5 linked regions of the Mus musculus genome follow. The protein of the gene in region 5 binds, or shares a complex with, the protein of the main gene of each other region. Links are inferred from orthologs where the notes say so. Each region holds a gene or a part of one and is shown on either strand. Other genes may lie near its edges. The genes, in order: Plcg2, Frs2, Kl, Fgf23 and Fgfr1.

Evidence for each region.
Region 1: the proteins of Fgfr1 (region 5) and Plcg2 are in contact, whole or in part, in a cryo-EM structure (PDB 8JQI), measured with the Homo sapiens proteins. The link is inferred for Mus musculus from reciprocal best matches to the Homo sapiens genes FGFR1 and PLCG2. Residues at the interface, in NP_075598.2 of Homo sapiens: Lys504, Asn506, His541, Lys542, Lys598, Ser602, Tyr605, Gln606, Arg609, Glu612, Tyr613, Ser616, Lys617, Lys748, Asp755, Arg756, Val758, Ser762, Gln764, Glu765, Tyr766, Leu767, Asp768, Leu769; in NP_001412678.1 of Homo sapiens: Phe528, Arg540, Thr568, Phe569, Pro570, Asn571, Phe577, His585, Cys586, Arg587, Arg589, Ser590, Thr591, Met592, Gly595, Leu601, Thr602, Asn604, Leu622, Arg623, Cys624, Ala625, Glu626, Phe627, Glu738.
Region 2: the proteins of Fgfr1 (region 5) and Frs2 are in contact, whole or in part, in an NMR structure (PDB 1XR0), measured with the Homo sapiens proteins. The link is inferred for Mus musculus from reciprocal best matches to the Homo sapiens genes FGFR1 and FRS2. Residues at the interface, in NP_075598.2 of Homo sapiens: His409, Ser410, Gln411, Met412, Ala413, Val414, His415, Lys416, Leu417, Ala418, Lys419, Ser420, Ile421, Pro422, Leu423, Arg424, Arg425, Gln426, Val427, Thr428, Val429, Ser430; in NP_001036020.1 of Homo sapiens: Asn25, Val26, Asp27, Asp28, Leu33, Leu47, Thr49, Arg50, Asp53, Ser54, Val55, Trp57, Leu60, Cys61, Leu62, Arg63, Arg64, Tyr65, Gly66, Tyr67, Asp68, Ser69, Leu71, Ser73, Phe74, Gln81, Thr82, Ile86, Phe87, Ala88.
Region 3: the proteins of Fgfr1 (region 5) and Kl are in contact, whole or in part, in a cryo-EM structure (PDB 7YSH), measured with the Homo sapiens proteins. The link is inferred for Mus musculus from reciprocal best matches to the Homo sapiens genes FGFR1 and KL. Residues at the interface, in NP_075598.2 of Homo sapiens: Asn272, Gln288, Leu290, His292, Ile293, Asn296, Gly301, Pro302, Leu305, Pro306, Tyr307, Val308, Gln309, Ile310, Leu311, Lys312, Glu322, Leu326, His327, Leu328, Arg329, Asn330, Glu334, Asp335, Thr340, Leu342, Leu349, His351; in NP_004786.2 of Homo sapiens: Ser539, Gln540, Phe541, Asp543, Leu544, Asn545, Val546, Tyr547, Leu548, Trp549, Asp550, Val551, Lys555, Arg556, Leu557, Val560, Val563, Thr565, Lys566, Arg568, Tyr571, Val573, Ala576, Glu625, Arg628.
Region 4: the proteins of Fgfr1 (region 5) and Fgf23 are in contact, whole or in part, in a cryo-EM structure (PDB 7YSH), measured with the Homo sapiens proteins. The link is inferred for Mus musculus from reciprocal best matches to the Homo sapiens genes FGFR1 and FGF23. Residues at the interface, in NP_075598.2 of Homo sapiens: Glu159, Lys160, Glu162, Lys163, Lys164, Leu165, His166, Ala167, Val168, Pro169, Lys172, Gln244, Asp246, Val248, Glu249, Arg250, Ser251, Pro252, Val279, Tyr280, Ser281, Asp282, Pro283, Gln284, Pro285, His286, Ile287, Ala314, Gly315, Val316; in NP_065689.1 of Homo sapiens: Leu31, Leu32, Gly33, Ser34, Trp36, Gly37, Tyr43, Ala45, Thr46, Ala47, Arg48, Asn49, Ser50, His52, His66, Ile75, Arg76, Ser77, Glu78, Asp79, Ala80, Gly81, Val83, Val84, Tyr93, Phe108, His117, Gln118, Thr119, Asn122.

What each region holds. Positions count from the first base shown.
Region 1 is NC_000074.6:117,609,768-117,613,277, reverse strand, and holds part of Plcg2 (1-phosphatidylinositol 4,5-bisphosphate phosphodiesterase gamma-2), read right to left. Parts: intron 2,546-3,510; coding exon 2,336-2,545; intron 375-2,335; coding exon 229-374; intron 1-228. UniProt on the Homo sapiens protein: The production of the second messenger molecules diacylglycerol (DAG) and inositol 1,4,5-trisphosphate (IP3) is mediated by activated phosphatidylinositol-specific phospholipase C enzymes. It is a crucial enzyme in transmembrane signaling.
Region 2 is NC_000076.6:117,145,670-117,149,851, forward strand, and holds the start of Frs2 (fibroblast growth factor receptor substrate 2), read right to left. Parts: upstream 2,806-4,182; 5' UTR 2,723-2,805; intron 1-2,722. UniProt on the Homo sapiens protein: Adapter protein that links activated FGR and NGF receptors to downstream signaling pathways.
Region 3 is NC_000071.6:150,951,159-150,955,406, reverse strand, and holds the start of Kl (klotho precursor), read right to left. Parts: upstream 2,801-4,248; 5' UTR 2,691-2,800; coding exon 1,866-2,690; intron 1-1,865. UniProt on the Homo sapiens protein: May have weak glycosidase activity towards glucuronylated steroids. However, it lacks essential active site Glu residues at positions 239 and 872, suggesting it may be inactive as a glycosidase in vivo.
Region 4 is NC_000072.6:127,079,349-127,082,806, reverse strand, and holds the end of Fgf23 (fibroblast growth factor 23 precursor), read right to left. Parts: intron 2,770-3,458; coding exon 2,329-2,769; 3' UTR 1,776-2,328; coding exon of another isoform or gene 1,641-1,775; 3' UTR 511-1,640; downstream 1-510. UniProt on the Homo sapiens protein: Regulator of phosphate homeostasis. Inhibits renal tubular phosphate transport by reducing SLC34A1 levels. Up-regulates EGR1 expression in the presence of KL. Acts directly on the parathyroid to decrease PTH secretion. Regulator of vitamin-D metabolism.
Region 5 is NC_000074.6:25,563,755-25,567,264, reverse strand, and holds part of Fgfr1 (fibroblast growth factor receptor 1 isoform 1 precursor), read right to left. Parts: intron 2,926-3,510; coding exon 2,781-2,925; intron 555-2,780; coding exon 352-554; intron 1-351. UniProt on the Homo sapiens protein: Tyrosine-protein kinase that acts as a cell-surface receptor for fibroblast growth factors and plays an essential role in the regulation of embryonic development, cell proliferation, differentiation and migration.

The sequences.
Region 1 (3,510 bases), about 92 Mb from region 5:
GAGAGAAAGAGTAAGCTGTGACCTCTCTAAGACAAAGGAGAAATGAACTCTCCTCTCGGCTAGAGGTTGACCTCACATGAACCCCAAGAGCATACGTCACACCCAGACTAGGGCAAGTGACAGGAAGGGTTTTCAGCCCAGAATGACCCCAGGTGAACCACATGAGGTTGCAGTTGAGATGGTGCTGGATTAACAGGACAAGAGCGCCCCCCAGGGAGCCCCCTCTACCTTGACAGTGAGTGTCATCAGGATCTTCCTCTGGGACTCCAGGGGCATCGGATCATACTTCTCAGAGCGCATGCTCTCAGGCTGCAGGACGTAGCCTGTTCGCCCATTGAGCGAAAACAGCGCGTGGTTCATCTGCATGTATTTGTCTGAAAAGAGAGCCGAAGGGCGCTGTGGGGGCAGCCAGGGAACACCAGCTCCGGGCGCACATGGGCACAGGCCACGTGACCTTCCTGCACTGACTGGGGGGGGGGGGGGGAAGCGGTTCAGAAAAGACATCTGACTCCAGGGAAACATGGGGAGCGTTAGGAAAGAATCCCGCACCAGGAAACCATCTTACAGGGAGTCTGGAGAGGTGTAAGCCTTAAGGAATTAGAATCTACTGAAACTGGGTGCAGGCCAGGGGTAGAACGCTTGCTTACACCACAGGGTAAATCACAGGGTTCAAGGGACAGGTGACTCGGCAAGTAGATAAAGCCACCGACCTGAGTGTGGCCTCCAGAATCACATAAAGATAGAAGGAAAGACTCTACCAGCTGTCCTCAGACCTCCACGTGTGTTCCATGACATAGACACCCTGTTCCTCTGGCCTTCAAGTGTGGACCATGGCATAAGCACCCTGTCCTCCAACCTCCACACACGTGTGCAATCTATGTATGCCCTATTCCTCTGACCTCCACGCATGTTTCATGGCACGCATGCCCTGTCCTCTGACCATCACGTGTGGACCATGGCAAGCACACCCACACATAATCTCAGTTCACACAACAGGTAGATAGTTAGCACTATCAATAAAAAGCCAGCTTGGTGGGATACCAAGAGGACCCACCGCTTTGCAGGGAAACAAATGGCAAACATCCCTTGACTTGGTGAGAGGGGAAAGAGTTAATGTTACTCAAAGAGCAGAGCCTTGAGCAGAAATTGTAAGGACAAGTCAGTTTTCTCCCTGAGGAGCCAAGAGCAGGTGAGCTTCGTGAAACTACAGTAGTGACCTATGCTGAAGGAGTGTGCCCATGCTCTAGAGGAGGAACTGGGCAAGTGCCTCAGGACACAGGTGCCCAGTGGTCCGGGGGTTGGCTAGGGGGAGGATTCCTCAGCAGTAAGAAATGTCTGCCCCACACTGTGCACCCACTCTTGGGAACAAGAGCCACGGGTCCAGGAGGCAGTGGCATCTGCGGTAGACAGGGATGGGACCTGACCTACAGATTCCTAGAGCTGAGGTGGGTGTAGTTGTTAAATAAATAAGAGAAACGAACAAACGAATTCACAGGATGCAACGTCTAAAATTTGTGTGCGTGGGTTTTCCCAACTATATAAGAGTCTAGAGAGGGTAGGCATGAAGCCCTTGGAGAGAAAGCGCACAAAGAGGTAAGGCAGCCACTGAGAGCTTGGATCCAGTCACACCTGGATCCATCAGTCCCTCTGAGACTTACCTACCTGTTGCAGGATATTTGATCACACTGTAAGCCCCGAGATTGTCAACTGGAAAAACCTTTTCTTGTTGTGGTGTGGCTCAGCCCTAGCGCACACCTTTGACCCAAGAGCTTTGTGTAAAGAGGATTAAATTAAATCAACCATAGGTCAAGAGGCAAAGCAAGCAACCAGTTGACAGGGAGTGAACATAAGAGAAGCCAGGAGAAGGAGAAGAGGGTCTGTGAGTTGAAGGGTGTTTAAGACAACATGGAGAAGGAGCCTTTTCCTTCTGGGGCATCAGTCAGCTGGGTGCTCTCTCTGCCTCTCTGAGCTAGCAAGATGCTTTCACCCCAGCATCTTGCTCCTGAGTCTTCATTTGGTAAATCAGATGTTTGGGATGTTGTTTTAAAAACAACACTTACTAGTTCAATAAGTTATTACATTCCCTTCCTAAACCAGAATGGTCATAATACCTCTCTGTCACTCGTGGTCACCGAGCCTGCTTCAGCCATATGTCCACTGTCCCCTTTGTCAGTCCCTAGGGCCTTGTACTAACCAGCATCCAAGTTCAACCTTGACGGGCCAGCCCAGTCACTTGTTCAGAAACAATCACATCCCACTAGCTGCCCAAGTGACATTGCTGGCCATGACAGGGCCACCACCTAGCCTGGACAGACTGGCTGCCTTCATCCCTTACCTGGAGTCTGGAAATTGAGTGCCACCATCTGGGAGCCGCACAGCCACAGACGGAAGGGGTCATAGTTCGAAGAGTCAACTCTCTGTCCCTTGGGGTAGACTCGGGTCAGGCCCTTCTGATTGTATCGCAATAGATCGACAGGTTTTTGCCTGACAATGCTGTCTGCCTTCGTCTCCACAAAAGAGCGGATTTCTCGGAAGTCGGGATTTTCTGCAGAGAGGATATGATCCTTTGAATAAGAACAGCTCCTATAGGCTCAAAGATTTAAATACTTGGTCACCAGGGAGGGGCACTATTCAGAGATGTGGCCTCATTGGAGTAGGTGTGACCTTGTTGGAGGAAGTATGTCACAGGGATGAGCTTTGAGGTTTCAAGGGCCCAAGCGTGACCCCATAGCTCTCTCTGTCCTCCTGCTACCTGAGGATGCAGATGTAGACCTCTCAGGCACCTCTTTAACACCAAGTCTGCCTGCATGCTTCCCACCCTGATTACAATGGACTAAACCGCTGAACCTGTAAGCAAGTCTCCAATTAGATGTTTTACTCTGTAAGAGTTGCATGGTTATGTCTCTTCAAAGCAATAGAGCACTGACTAAGACAGAGGAGACAGTCAACCATACTTCTGGATGTGATGGCAGAAGGCCCAGGTGACAAAAAGAGACCAGAACTCTCTTGAAAAGGCCATGAGGGTTGGCAAGATGGCTCAGCAGGTAAGAACACTGACTGCTCTTCCAAAGGTCCTGAGTTCAAATCCCAGCAACCACATGGTGGCTCATAACCATCTGTAATGAGATCTGATGCCCTCTTCTGGTGTGTCAGAAGTCAGCTACAATGTACTTATGTATAATAATGAATAAATCTTTAAAAAGAAAAGACACTGAAGGGATAGGGTGGTGGCCAACTCTGTAAAGTGCCAACTATGTAAACCTGAGTTCGAGTCCACAAGTTATAAAAAAGAAAGAAAGAAAGAAAGAAAGACGAAAGAAAGAAAAAAAGAAAAGAAAGGATAGGAAAGGAGAAGAGAAGAGAAGAGAAGAGAAGAGAAGAGAAGAGAAGAGAAGAGAAGAGAAGAGAAGAGAAGAGAGCCAGGTATGGTACTGTGTAATCTCAGTATGCAGGCTTGCAGGAGGATCCCCAGAGCTCGCTGGTCAGCCAGCCTAGCCTGCTTGCTGAATC
Region 2 (4,182 bases), on a different chromosome or scaffold from region 5:
GCCCACACCCGTAAGTGTTCCCGTCTCAACTGTGACACGTGACCTAAGTTATAACAAACACTTCACTTTTGTACAAGTGCAAACTTCAGATAAGCCCATCTATGTGGTTAAGGATTTACACACACTTTTTGCTTTCAGAGTCTTTTGTTGTGAACAGGGTCACCTTGCCACTCCTTTGCCACTGCAAGCATGACACCACATTCAGACAGATACTTACTTATACTGTAAACTTTTGTACAAGTATCTTACATCCCACTAGGTTCACATTCCACAGCCCAGCTTCCTCTTGGTGAGGCAGCATGCCTAGCACCGGTTCTTCGTGAAGCACTCAACAGCCCCCCCCCCTCCCATTAAGTCCCAATCCAGGGGAGGTTTAGCATTCCTAGACAGTGCAATTCAAGTCTTCACAATTTCAACACACTTGGAAAATTATCAAAACATGAATCCCAAGTTCTAATGGCTTTGGCTTTGTTTTCCCTACATGGTTCACTAAAGAGTCTGACGCATAGAAAATGCTCAATGTCATTTGAATTGACTTGAGCAATAGTTAAAAGTTATAATGCCCGAAAGTATTTGATTTTTACCAATTCCCTTTTTTTGCTTTTATAACTCCCATACTTTTTTCCCTTCAAAACACACTATAACCAGAGAACAAATACATAATCAAACCTAACTTGACTCATTTTCCAGACTTTAATTCAACATCCCAATCTTGGGCTCTGAACAACTGAGTTCTTCAAACACTAAGGGGCTACCGCATCATTCCGAGTCTAAACACTACAACTTATCTTCACTCACACTTTCCCACGGGCTAGAAAAACACCCCCTTTGTTTATTATCAACAACCTTGACAGAGATTTGAGGGGCTGGGGAGACTGCTCCCACGTCGAGTGCTTGCTGACTGAGAAAGTGAGAGAACCTGAACTGGCACCGACAGCACCTCCATTATAAACTAGATGCTGGGCCATGTGCCGATAACCAGTAGACCTGGACTGGGGACATGGGGCAAACACAGGACGGTCCCTGGGGCTTGCTGGCCAAGCAGCCCAGCCGGAAGTACAAGCTCCAGGCTCAGGAGACCCTGTCTCAAAAGGATCATCATGATCATGGTGCTGGGTAGTCTAGGTTCACCTCTGGCATTACACACACAGAGAATTTGTTTTTTAATGAAATAAACTTTTCTTTTGCATAAGACAGTATATGCAACTCGTCACTTCAAATCATTCCCCTCATTCATGATATCTTCCCTTCCAGTAGTCGAAAGAGAAAGTACGAGAGAGAGAGAGAGAGAGAGAGAGAGAGAGAGAGAGAGAGAGAGAGAAACAGTATAAATCCTAACGTAAGCATAATAAGGGCAGATAATGTCACTGGTTTCATGAAGATGACTTGTGTATATTGACACCACCACAAGGTCATTTGCAACAAATAAACTATCTGATAATAATTTAAAACTCAATAAAAGCGGAAAATAGCTCCATTATTTCCTACAAACCTTTTATCCGTAGTTTATCACCTAAACTCAGTTTACTAACAGTGCCTACAAGATTTTCTTCTCTAGGAAAGTCTCAGTTTATTGGAGTTAAACACTTCATATGCTTAAATCAACAAACACCTCTGTCCCGCTGTGGGAACACCCCCACCCCGCGTTCCCACAACTGGACTACACGAAGAACCTCCGAGGAGAAACTGAGGGAAATTATATATATATATATATATATATATATATATATATATATACATATAATATACATACATATGTGTGTGTATATATATGTGTGTGTGTATATGTGTGTGTGTGTGTGTATATACACACATATATACACATATATATAATTAGCTCAAGAAATGACAGTTCCAAGTATGAAAGTAAACAAACTGGGGTGAAAAAAAAGGATACAATTCTCCAGCCTTTTGCAGTCAACTTGTGCAAGGTCCCGACTGAAGTCTTAACAACTGTGACTTCGGATGAGCGCAGGAATTCGGAAGGCTGATTACAGAATAGCATGGTTTTTTTTTTTTTTTTAACGTCAGCAAGAACACGGGGAAACTCCTCTGAATCTACGAATCTCCTCAAATCTTTGTTTTTAAGAAGTAACTCCCAACAGTTTCAGTTTGCAAGGGAGCAAAGACCCTTCGAGGAATGGTACTGCCTCACTGACCGACCCTACGCAGGCATCCAGACCCAGTTAAGTTTCGAGCCGAGTCCAAATCGAACCTCCGGCGACCCCGACGCAAGCCCCGCAAGAGATCGCCAGCATCCACACAGGGAGCGCCCCACCCTCGGACTGACTACACCCCTGGGACACAGGATAATTACTGAGACGGGAAGAGGGGACAGATCCAAGAGGCGACGAAAGTTGGACACTGATGTCCAGTGCAGTCTGGCTGTCCCGGTCCCCAGCGTCCGAGTGCACAGACCCCACAGCGGAGGCACCGAGCCCACTTGCCCGATGCAGAGAGGGGGTCGCAGCGCCGACGGCCGGGCCCCGCTACGGAGTCCCCCCTCTGCGGGCGGCCGCGGCTCCGGGAACCCCGCTCCGGCTGCGCCCCGCCCACTCCGCGGCCCCGCATCGCGCCCCTTCCCGGCCCGCGGGCCGCGCGCGCTCCGCGGCGGCCGACGAACCCCTTCCCCGGATCCCCGACGGCTGAACCTGCAGCGGACAGCCGGGTCCGAGGCTCGCTCGCCCAGCGCAGGCCCCGCTCGGCGTCCCCGGCTACTCACCGTCGGCGCGAAGGCGCTGCGAGGGGCGCGGGGTGGCAGCCGCGGAGCTCCTCACTCTCCCCGCGACCTGACCCCCTGCTCGGAGCCTCGGCGCCTGTGTCTACAAGGCCTCTCTCCAGCCCGAACCCTAGACAAGCACTTCCGGGGGAGCGGGGGAGGGCAGGGGTTTGGCACCGGAACTGCTCCCAGGCTGGAGCTGCCAGCCCTCCCGGGAGGGGCGTGGCCTCTGCTCCGGGCGCCAGCGGACCCGCCCCCGAGCCCCGCCCCCGGGCTCCTTGCTAACCCCTGTGGTCCCGCGGGCCCCGAGCTACCGCTGGCACCCCTTATTTTAACGCCTGTTAGGATCGCTCCCTTCTACTTAATTCTACAGGGGCCCGGAGAATCTAATTTCGCCGAGCCCGGAGCATTCACCGGCTTGCCGACCGGCCGGCGGTGTTATCCTTTCTCGCTTCTGTCCCGCGTGAAAATGCAGTTGACATTTATCGAAGGAAGGCTTACGGCGTGGTAGACAGGGCATTTATTACGCGATTCGGTGGCGTTAACTCATTTAATAACCTTCAAACTCCTGGAAATTGGTGCTTTTATTCTCTGTGTCTTACAGAGAAGGAAATCGGCCAAAGTATCGGACTTTACCACATATGCTGGCTCTTGGTTTTACTTTAATTTGTGGTATGCGTAGAACTCTCATTTGCCCCAAACAAGACTTTTCAAATTATTCAAAGACGGGAGCCAAATTATTTCCCTATATGGGTCATCCTTTGCACTTTAAACAAAGGCTGAGATGATGGGCTATGCAATCTTAGTGCCAGGATCCTGTTTCTTTACATTTCACCCTGGTGTGTGTGTGTGTCGTGTTCATCTCTGGATTGTAGACGTTAAAAATAATATAATGCATAACGCAATAGTAAGCATTTCAAAGTACCCAGGACTGAGTACGTCCGCACAATTCTTATACCTAACCAGTAACTAGCAATAGAGAAGACCTGGGCACTTTTGAAACTTACCAAAGACAGACAGTATGAGAGCCTACAGAGTCAGTGTCAGGCAAAGAAGTGAGACGATCTTAAAAGATTTGCTCTGTCACAAAATCAAGAAACATCAAATATTAAAGGCAGGTTTTCAGTATGAAGCAAAGCCCCACATGGAAGAAAAGGGCTCAAACCTGACAAGCTATTTTGTTTCCAGCAGTCTAAAAAGGCTGAGGCAGGGAGAGTCCGGAGAGTTTCTAGCCAGCCTAAGCTTTACAGTGAGTTTCCAGACAAAGGTGGCCAGGACTATGAAGCAAGACTCTTGTCCAAAAAGAAGGAGAGGAGGAGGAAAAAAGGAAGAGCAAAAAAGAAAAGAGTTTCTTAGCATGCATAGTGTCTGTTAAATACTGCAGGGACAAGTGTTAAGACAATCTGCTTTGAGAAAGGCAGAGTAAAAGAAAACCCCTTATTACAAATTTAAGATGCAAACAA
Region 3 (4,248 bases), on a different chromosome or scaffold from region 5:
ATCAGTCTCAGAGCAGGGGAAAAGGGTTGGTTTCCCAGCATTCCACTCTGGGATGCAAACTAATACTCAAAGGGCTCAGCGGCCCCCAGCTCTTCCCAAAACAACCAGTATCGAAACCAAAAGCGCCGGTTTCCAAAATCTGCACATCTTGACTTTTTCAGATAAAGTAAGAACTCCTCAACCCCGTCACACAAACACCAACGATCAGCACCCAGAGCAAAAGAAAAGGATCGTTCGCAGTGGCATTCGTTTGTGATGCTTTACTTCTAAATAATTTAATGGGCTGGCTAAATTCTAAACCGAGAGGAATTAAAAAAGCAAAATTAATATTTTACAGTAACTCGGGTTTCAAGCGCAGCACCAGCAAAAATAAGCCACGTGCCTGCCAGTTGCTAATGTCTTGTGGCTACAAAGTCCACTGCACTTCTACAAAGGACAGTTAGTGTTTGGCAACATTTTTGTGTAATTCCCCAGAAATACAATGGCAAAGTTAAAGGCATGACTGACAGGGAGCGGCAGAGAGTTCATGCAATCCTTCATGCTATAAGTGATTACGGAGCACCAGACTTACAACCCCCCACTTTCACATACATAGAATTTATCATATGTACTCCAGACACTAGAATTTGCATCATTTAAATTTCAAGGAGTGATCCTTGTCCCTAATCTCTCTCTGGCAGGAACTGATAATTTGTCTTTTCTTCAAAAGATGGTTCAGTTCACCCACCTGCCCCCACCCCCATGGTTTTTCTACATCAGTCCTTCTGGGTTGATTTGGTCCAGGGCTTGTTGGTTTCTTTAAAAGATGGGCATATTGACCACACTTAGGAATCACTATTGTAAAAGTAACAGTATATAAAAATACACACCTACATGAAACCAAAGCCACGAGCAAACCCAGGTTTTGTGAAGCTGACATACAATGTCAGTTAGCCAATATCTCACTACCCAGAGCGCAGAATCGACTCAATAGGCCAGCGCTGTTCTGCCACAATTGTCTATGGTTAATTAGAAGTGTTTAGAACAGGCCTAGCTCTGTAGCTTAGAGTGTTGAAGTGCCCGACTGGTTAGAAAGTGTTTAGAAGGAGCCTCTGTCTTCAGGACGTTCAGAACCACTGACTGTATTTGGTCACTCACTTCATCGGTGAGGAATCCCTTCAACTAGAGAGAGCACTGTGGAAACACAGATGTTGGAAGAGCCATAAGCACACCCCCCTGTAGATGGTCCCGTGTTTATATGTCCATCTTGCACTGTGTGGGGGGGCAGGGAGGGGGGACTGTCTTCAGACCTATGACAATTCATGGTGATAGAGGCAAAGAAGTTCCTATCCAGCCCTGCCTCAGAAGGGACCTCAAAACACAGCTTAAACCCAAACAGTTCAAGGATTTTGACACTGCTACCAAACTAGATAACCTTGAGTCACTAGCAAGACGGGTTTTACTGAATTAACACAGAGGTCTTGCACGGGCAATGCCTGTTTGCAGCTCGTGAACACGGGTGTTGCTTTCATTCACCGTCTTTATTCTGACTCTGCAGCTGATTCTAACAAATCTTGCTGGCCATTACCTCTAGGAACTTCGACTTCCCAACACCTGGGGAGAAACGCTTGCTCAGTGGAGAAATGGCCCCGTGTCCTTTTCTAGGGGCCCTAAAGCACGCGCTGCAGGATTCCGCTCCAGTTTCTAACTCCACTTCTAGAAGAGAACCCCAGAGCTGCTGGGGGGGGGGGGGTGTCTCCGCCTGCAAAGTGTCAGACCTGTGTGACCTCGTAATGGGTTCAAGTAAGGATTTCTGGAAGTGGCTCTGGCACTTCCGAGGCCCTCTGTCCCCCAAGGTGGCCCCCTGCCTGGCCCCTCGAACTCACCAAAAGTAGGTTGTGGGCAACCAGGTACCCGAGCCTGGAGCTGCCCCTCACGCCCGGGGCCAGGCGCCCGGTGGCATACCCGTGCCAGGCCACCACGTAGGGGTTGTCAATGGTGATCCAGTACTTGACCTGACCACCGAAGTGGCGGAAGCAGAGCTCGGCATAATCCCTGAAATGGTCGGCCAGGGCGCGATTGGCCCATCCGCCATAGGTGTCCTGCAGGCGCTGTGGCAGGTCCCAATGGTACAGGGTAACCACCGGCTGCACGCCCAGCTCCCGCAGCCGCTCCAGCAGCCGCCGGTAGTAGCGCAGCCCCTCGCGGTTGGGAGTGCCCGCGGTGCCATTGGGGAGCACCCGCGCCCACGATATGGAGAAGCGGTAGTGGGTGACCCCCAGTTCGCGCAGCCCCTCTGTGTCGCGGTAGACGTTGTTGTAACTATCGCTGGCCACATCTCCAGTGGAGGACAGGGGAGGCGACGGGGCACCCGACGGCGCCACGACGATCGGGGAGTCGGACGGGGCCGCCCCAGAGTGATGGGTGAAAGTGTCCCAGATGGACGCGCCTTTGCCGTGCTGTCGCCAGCCGCCCTCGGTCTGATAGGCGGCGCTGCCTACCGCCCAGAGGAAACCGTCGGGGAAGGTGTCGTGGAGGAGGCCAGCGGCCTCTGGGGCAGGAGCGCGCGCGAAGCGAGCCCAGGTCTGCGCGCCCTGACCCGGCTCAGCGCTCAGGCAGCGGGCGCGCAGGGCGAGCAGCAGCAGATGCAGCAACAGCAAACGGAGCAGCACCAGCCGCGGCGGGCGGCGAGGAGGGGCGCGGGCTAGCATGCTGCGGGAGCCGGGAGGGCACCGCGCCGCGCCCCTATATGCCCGCGCCCCGCCGCCCTCCCTACGCGGTGCCCACCCCCGCTCCCGCCGCCCCACGAGCAATGATTATCCAGAGCAGGCGCCGCCCCCCACTCCGGCCTGGCACGGGGGCGGGACAGGGGCTCAGCCAGCCAGGGTGCCCAGAGAGAGCACAGCAGGGGTCATAGGGACGTCGGAGAACAAGCACCTGCTGCAGCCAGCTCAGGGAGCAGACTATTCCACATCGCACAATCCTGTGGCCTCCATCCTGAGATGTCCCCGCGTCGCCCACTCCCCGCGTCCACTCCCTTTGCCTTCCTGGGACTGGTGTTCCTGGAGGACAGAAACAGCTGCCCAACTTTGCACAACGTTTGGCGCCTCGGGGGTGGGGGAGTGGGGAAAATCACCTGCTTTCCCCTTTCTCCCATTCTGAGCCCTCTATCCAGGGGAATCTTTCAGAGAACATCCCAGGAGAGCTTTGCTGTATCTGAACACAGCAGGAAGGCAGGGTGGGGAATTCAGGTGGAACTTTGCGAGGTTTAAGAGTACTCAGGCAGTTTTCTTCTGATAAGAGAGTCCCCCATCCCATTAGAGAAGGCGAGAGTCCGCCTTGCCTCAGACCCCAGCCTGCAGAGCCTACAAGAACACACAGTGGGTCTAAGAATGATGGGTTGTGTGAGGCTTCTGTTTCTCCTTTCCCTGGGTCGTCCCCTTCTCTTCCCTCCCCCGTTATCCCCCTTTAACCCTTTAAATCAGCAGTGTTCCTTAATGAGATCCCTCTGGATTCTCTGGTGAGGTTGTAGCTGTGAGTTGTTTTCCAAGAGAAAGAAAAACTCCAGACCACTCACATTTCAACTTCCATGGCACCATATCCCGTTCATCACCCTTTGCCATCCTTCTTATGAATATCCACGTTTTGACGTCCAGCCCTGGCTTAGCAAGTGGGGTCTCTGGGCAGGAGTGCTGGGTGGGAGACTTCTGTCCCCCACGCCGTGTATGTATGTATGTATGTATGAATGTACACCTATACCTATACATATACACGGGCTTTGTCCCATTCATTGGGAAACATCTCGAAGCTCAAAGGACAAATGTACACTAAGATGAGTCCCTAAGGGAAGCCCAGAAAAAATGAAGGATGCCACCATCCTACTCAGTAAGGTACAACTCAGCCGCTGCCTCCCGCCCACAGAGGGATGAGTAACATCCTTGCAGAACAGGCACTCTGAGAGTGATGTCCTCCTCAGAATTCCACACAAATAGAAAGTCAATACAGCCACAAGTGTTACATTCGAAGATGCTTGCTACAATGTCAGCACAGTAAACTTACTCCAGTACTTGATGAAATAGTCTCAACTCCAGCAAGCACACATTATCACCATTAGTGATATGAAGTCACCAGGTGGGGACAAAGACACCTCGTTTCTATTCAGTGTGTCATTAAAATATCTCAATAAATGAAAAAATAACAATGAGCAATTTTTTTTAAATCGCTTCATGCAGCCTTGCAGTCACCATCTTACCGGAAGATTCGACAGCA
Region 4 (3,458 bases), on a different chromosome or scaffold from region 5:
GCTTACCTCCCCTCACATGTGGAAGGTCTGGTCACCAGCCGGTGGTGCTGGTGGGAGGTAAGGTAAGAGGTGGGGCTTCGTGAGAGGTCCTTAGGTCACTGGGGGTGTACAGACTAGTTGGGCCTCAGCCTCTTTTTCTGCAAGTAAGTGGCTTTCCTCTGCCACAGGTTCCCACCACAATGTGCTGATGAGCTGCCACAGACCTGAGAGCAGCTGCCTTCTGCGTTGTGGACTAGACCTTCTAAAGTGTGGCTCAAACCTTTTATCTTCATAAATTGATCAGGCCCACTCTATGTTAATAGTGAAGGAATGCTACTATGATGTGTATCTGGTTAACTGAAGATTAATACGATTTATGTCTGGTTAACTGAGATTTCAGTATGGTTATGCCAGTGTGTCTTTTTCAAATTCTTTTTCCTTTTCCTATTCTGTTTCCCCCAGATTTTCCAATTTTACTCGTGTGTCTCAACATGCATTTATGCAGTCACACAAAGAGGACAAGAGACAGAAGCTGAGAGAAGTCTTATTTTTATTTAAAACACAAGGACAGAAGTGGGGTTAGATTTTATAAATAACTATAAATATAGAGTGATAGGCAAAAATCTTTCAAATAAATAAATAAATATTGCCACATGTGAAGGGACCTAAGGAATTACAAGATGACCTTGGCTCTGCCAAAAAAGAAAGCCCCGCGGTGGTTCTGGGCTTGTGAGTTTACAGCCAGTTTGCTACTCAAGTTCTTTCTGGGGTTTCCCACGTGGTTGCCTCAGTGGGGAGGCTTCTGGTAGCTGGTGTACAGGCTAGTACCCCAATGGGAAGTGAAAGCCAGTGCGGAAAAGGGTTGGGGTTCATGGCATCTACTGCTGTGCACAGCGTTAGTACTTCAGGGGTGGAACTGGCCGAGTTGCCTGCTATTGTTGCCTGCTGTTCATCTGACAAGCAAGAGCAGTGGATCCATTTCTAAGGCTGTGTACAGGAAGACAGTGGAAAACTCAAAGCTGTCTGAAGGACTGGGCCATTACTGTGCCCTTCTGATTCTCATTTAAATAGAGGTAGACAGGAGGTGCCCTTTGTTGAAGTCGATTACCAGCTAAGGTGCAGAAGCGGGGAGAACCTTAAAGCCTGCCTAACACTTCTTGCTGTTCACTGTGAGGCTATGCTCACCCCAGGACAGCCCTGGAGTTTCTGGGACAAATGAAAGATGTCTTTGTTTAATGCCCTAAAAGTTCCCAAGAGTAGCTGCCATTTTGGGGTTAGCTCCTGCAGGAGTCCTCCCCTGACTCTACCTAGCTAATCCTGGATCCCATTTTACTTAGGAAAACAAAAACAAACTTAAAAAAAACAAAAAAACAAAAAAACAAAACAAAACAAAAAAAAAAAAACCTCTTTTTTCCCTTTCCTCTTCACAGAAACCCTAACCTAGAACAATCCGAGGTCTCAAGGACCCTTCTCCCCCACCCCACCTCCACCCCCACCCCGGGCACATTCGCTTAGAATATATTACAAGTCAACCTGCTAGCGGAGGCTTTCACTAAAAATGCCTCTTTAGAGAGAGTTCGAGCGTTTGCATTTTGCAAAACACCCTAGCAAGGTAGACTTTGCTGAGCCAGGGCAAATTCAAAAGCTACTGACTGGTCCTATCACAGAATCATTGGCGAATCATTCCTCAGGGAGGCTGAACTCTGAAATGTGTTCGGTTTAGGTGTCCTTGTCAGCCTCCCGCCAATCCAAAGCTCTTCCCAAAGAGAAGAAATGCGCGTCTTTCTTCGACTTGCCTAGTGAAGACATTAAGGTCAAGGTGCTCAAACTCAAACACCCGTGAATCCCAGAATAGTAACTAGAAGCTGCAGAGATGGCCTCTTCCCTGTGTTCAAGGCGTGAACTCTTTCCTCGTGCTAACTGATCGATTAAAATGCTAGGCAAGAGACCCGGCTAATAAAGGCCAAGTGTCTGGTTTACCTGTTAGTAAAATAAAATAAAAAGAGCTTCGTGTCTAGTTTACCTGTTGGGGTCTTTAAATCAGATTAACATTTAAAATTACATGTATGTGTGTGTGTGTGTGTGTGGATGTGTGTGTGTGTGAGTACAGATTCCCCTGGAGCTAGAATTACAGGTATTTGTGGGTGCTGAGAACTGTCTGCGCCACCTCTCCAGCCTCCCACCGTTGGCTCTTAATTCTGAATAGCGGTGCCTGGCTGGAACCTCGCAGGTGACTCTCAGGCCCATAGGGAAGGGAGAGAAGCAGACATCCTCGAGGTACCCTAGTCCTTCCTCTACGTGGGCTGAACCGACTGGAGGATGGAGGCGGACGCAGCCTGGCCTGGGGACCTAGACGAACCTGGGAAAGGGGCGACACCTATCCGCGCCTCCCGCGCCCCCGCGAGCATCTCCACGGCCTCTGCGCAGCACCCCCAGAGGATCGCTGGCTGCGGGGCCACCTTCCTCTGCGCTCGGCAGCTCGCGAGAGCAGGATACAGGCACAGGCGTGGCGCGGGGCCGCGGCTTGAGCACGTTCAGTGGGTCGCGCTCCGGTGGGTCCTCGGCGCTGCGCGTGTGGCGCCGTGGGCGAACAGTGTAGAAATGCAGCAGCGGGACCTCGTTCCTGCGAGCCAGGAACTGGGAGAAGGGCGGCGGGTTGGTGCCCGGCTGGAAGATGCGCTTGGCGCGGCCCAGGCTCACCAGGTAGTGATGCTTCTGCGACAAGTAGACGTCATAGCCATTCTCCAGCGTCCACTGGCGGAACTTGCAATTCTCTGGGCTGAAGTGAAGCTGTAAGAGAAAGGAAACACAAGAAGTTGAGGGCCGGCGCTCCGCTAGGGGGTGATGCTCAGCCCAGCTCTGCACCTCCCTCTTAGGAAAGAGCTGAACTTGGCTCAGGCTTCAGGAGAGTGGCTGCTATTAGGGCTCTGGAGGGCACTTCCGGGAGACCTTGGGCTAGCGTGCCCAGCTTGCTGGGGCAGTGCCTAGAAAGACCTGATGACGTTCTTCTTGTTCAGTGCCCGCCGCAGGGAGAACTAAACATTCCTATTCTCATTCATATTCATATCCATTCATTCTGTTTATATCTCTGTCTGTCTCTATTATCTGCAGGGAGGACTAGACTAACATTCATCTTCAACCCCTGCCCCCTCGTCCCTCTATCTCCTTCCCGGGGTTTGACTAGATTTCACCGACGCTATGAAAGTACTTTACCACTGAGATACATTCCCAGCTTTTATCTTTGCTCCTTTGTGTTTTCTTTTCTTCTTTCTTCTTTTTCTTTCTTTTTTCTCCTCCCTTCCTTCCTTTCTTCTTTCTTTCTTTTCTTTTTTCTTTCCTCTTCTTCCTTCCTTCCTTCCTTCCTTCCTTTCTTTTTTTTGAGGCAGAACCTCACAGTTATCCAAAATGGTCGTGAGTTCTGATGTGTAGAGGGAGACCTCGAACTTTCAGTTCTCCTGCCTCAGACAACCAAGTAGCTG
Region 5 (3,510 bases):
AAAACGCTCCACCTCGGGTTTACGGATTCCTAGTCCCTAAAGGCACCTTTCTGGGTCAGCCCTCTTCTGAGGAAGGATTAATCTTTCACACGCCTGCACCTTCCAACCCGTTTCCTCCCACCATGTCTCAGGTGACAGAGGGAGGTCTTTGTGGCTGGGGTACAGGGTGGACAGGCATAGAGCCAGAGTTGGTTTATAACATTCCAATGTGTCTGGTCCAGAAGTTGGAGCGAAGTCCAAAGTGGGAGATGAGGAGCCAACCAGGAGGGTAGGAAAGGGAGCGGGCCCCAGAGGCCCAGGAAGAGGAGGCGGCAAGACAGTGGTGAGCCTGCAAATCCCCCATCTACTTTCTGTTACCTGTCTGCGCAGAGGGATGCTCTTGGCCAGCTTGTGCACAGCCATCTGGCTATGGAAGTCGCTCTTCTTGGTGCCGCTCTTCATCTTATAGATGATGACAGAGCCCAACATGCAGGAGATCAGGAAGGCCCCGGTGCAGTAGATAATGATCTCCAGGTAGAGCGGTGAGGTCATCACAGCTGGTCTCTCTTCCAGGGCTGGGTCAGTGTGGACAGTGTGTCAGCAGGTCATGGGGGCTGGGGGGAAGCTTCACTCACGAGAGGTGTGCCCCATGAGAAACCCAGCACCTGCCCCTCTCCCCTGGGATCCTGGCATCAAAGGACCTTGGGACCTCTGAAGTATCCTTAAACATCCTTAAACTCAAACCCCATAGAGGGTACATACAACCTAGACTATCCTGCAAAACAAGCCCAACACTCACTCACTAACTCCAGAGCCAACTTGCATAGTTGATCACTGGACTGGAAGGGCACCAAAGACCCTGCATATATGTTGCACACACATATCATATGGAAACAGGCTGCTATGCCCTAGAGACCAGATAGTCCTCAAAGCACATGACAGAGTGGGACTCTAATGAATGCTCATCTCATGTATTACTAAACACCCGTCACCTCTGTTAGATCAGGTCAGTAAATAGCTAAAACACAGGCTGAGTAAATATAGTGTCTAAATATGTCTCTAGGTGAAAAAACATGTTTTTAAGAAACCTATTCATGGGGCTGGAGAGTTGGCTCAGCTGTTAAGAGCACTCACTGCTCTTCCAGAGGTCCTGAGTTCAAATACCAGCAACCACATGGTGGCTCACAACCACCCATAATGAGATCTGATGCCCTCTTCTGGTGTGTCTGAAAACAGCTACAGTGTACTTATATATAATAAATAAATAAATCTTAAAAAAAAAAAAAAGGAAGAAGAAGAAGAAAAGAAATCTATTCATGGTCCCACAGGATTCTTAAAAGGTAAGGAAATGGGATGGGGGCCAGGCAATCATTTTTCTATGTTCTTTTACCTCTATTTAGAATTCATACAGTGCTGGCTAGTTTTTTGTCAACTTGACACACGCTAAAGTCATCCAAGAGGAGGGAACCTCACTGGAGAAAATGCCTCCATAAGAGCAGGCTGTAGGCAGGCCTGTAGGTCATTTTCTTAATTAGTGATTGATAGGGGGAGGGCCCAGTGCATTGTGGGTGGTGCCATCCAGGTGCCCTGGGTGCTATAAGCAAGCAGGCTGAGCAAGCCAAGTTGCAGCCGGCACTCTTTCCTTCCCAAGCTGATCTCGGGGTTTCACTGCTGCCATAGTGATCCCAGCTAAGACACACACTCATCCCCACTTGCTAGTCAGTCTATCTTTCCCTTCAGCGTAAGAAACATTGTCTGCCTACTGGAACCTCCTTGTCCTGCATGCATGCAGCCTTCCTCCAACAGTCCTCCCTTTAAAACCTCAGCCAGCCGAAGTGATACCCTTGGGAGTCCTCCCAGCCCAACAAGGAAACAACAGAGCTGATGACCACAGGGAAGTATTCTGTTGGTGTCTGTCCATCATCCACCTCCCCTCCCAGCCCCGCCCCGCCCATCAACTGTCAGGAAATGAAGACTCACAGGGAGCACTGACTAAACAGACAGAGACGATGGTAGAGATAGGATGCTTCTTTGCTAGCGGCAGTGTGGGAGACTGCTGGGCAAGCAAGGTGGAAGGGAAGAGTAGAGAAGGTATGCACTTAGCGGCCACAGAAAGAGCAGCTCTCAGGCCACATGCAAGTAAGACCATACTGAGCCTGTGGTCACCAGCCCACCACCCGGCAAGGCCACAGGGTCCTTCCTTCCTGGGTAGCACACTGACACAGATCTTCTCACATGGGAGGGCAGGCCAGGAGGGATATCCTAAGAGGACCAATGGGCACTTCCAGATGTCCTGAATGGCTAAGACAGGCCTCAGGTTTGCTATCCTGGCACGTCAATCAAAGTGCAGAGCAGAATGAAGAGTGGGCCAGCAATACTCCAGGGAAGCCGTAGTAAGCTCCTATTGGCATGTATTCATGGAGGAGAGGCCCATGGCTTTCCGTGGGACTGGCTAAAGAAGACCCCATCATTCAAAGCCTCTGTACCAAATGGATGAGGGAAGATGCTGTACCCAAGGATGGAAGGAGCCTGTGCTAGAAAGCCCTGCTGCAAGGTAAACCCAGGGCTCACGCATGCATTACATTGACCAGGGAGAAAGCCAGATGTACATGTGCAAGGGGAGGCTGACGCGTCACTTCCTGAAAACCCAGGAACTCCCCCTGCATGGCCCTCAAAGCCAGAGCAGAAAAGGGTACGCAGCAGACGGGAGCCGTCCCTTTCTGCCTCTCCCCAGCCCTGTAACGGATGCGCTGCTCCCATGGCAAAAGGCAGGACCCGGAAAGGACCAGTGCACTGTATACCTTCCAGAACGGTCAACCATGCAGAGTGATGGGAGAGTCCGATAGAGTTACCCGCCAAGCACGTATACTCCCCCGCATCCTCAAAGGAGACATTCCGTAGATGAAGCACCTCCATTTCCTTGTCGGTGGTATTAACTCCAGCAGTCTAGAAGAGACGACGGAAGCAAAATGGACAAGCCCGGGACATGAGACCTCCGAGAGGCGGAGAAACGGAGGGGACAGAGGAGGGGACCAAAACCAGAAGAAGAAACGCTCCCCAGCATCTCCTTTGCAACAAGGCAAAAAAACCACACCACCAGCCAGCGAGACCTGTTAGAGGAAAACAGCGAGGCTCTGGAGGGGAGGCTCTCCGGCAGACCTGAGGAGACGACGGCTTGGTTACGACCCTTCACCAGACGCTGGCAGCCACTGGCCCAGCCAAGCATGCGGGCGGTGGGCAGCATGGAGAAATGAGGCCTGGCAGGTAGGGGGCTGTTTGGTTTTAGGTAAAGAGAATCAGTGGGTACAGACGGGACAGCAAGGAAAGAAAAGCAGCCCCCAGAGCATCCCGAAAACGCACACATGCACGCACAACGTGCAGATACTGGTCTGAGAGAGAATATCTGGCCCCTTCTTTTTGTCACTATCAAAAACTTCAGTCAGAAACATCATTCCTAACATCTCACAAGTCCGCAGACAGGCACAAGTACTTATACACAGAAACGCACACACATAGAAGAAAAAAGGGTGA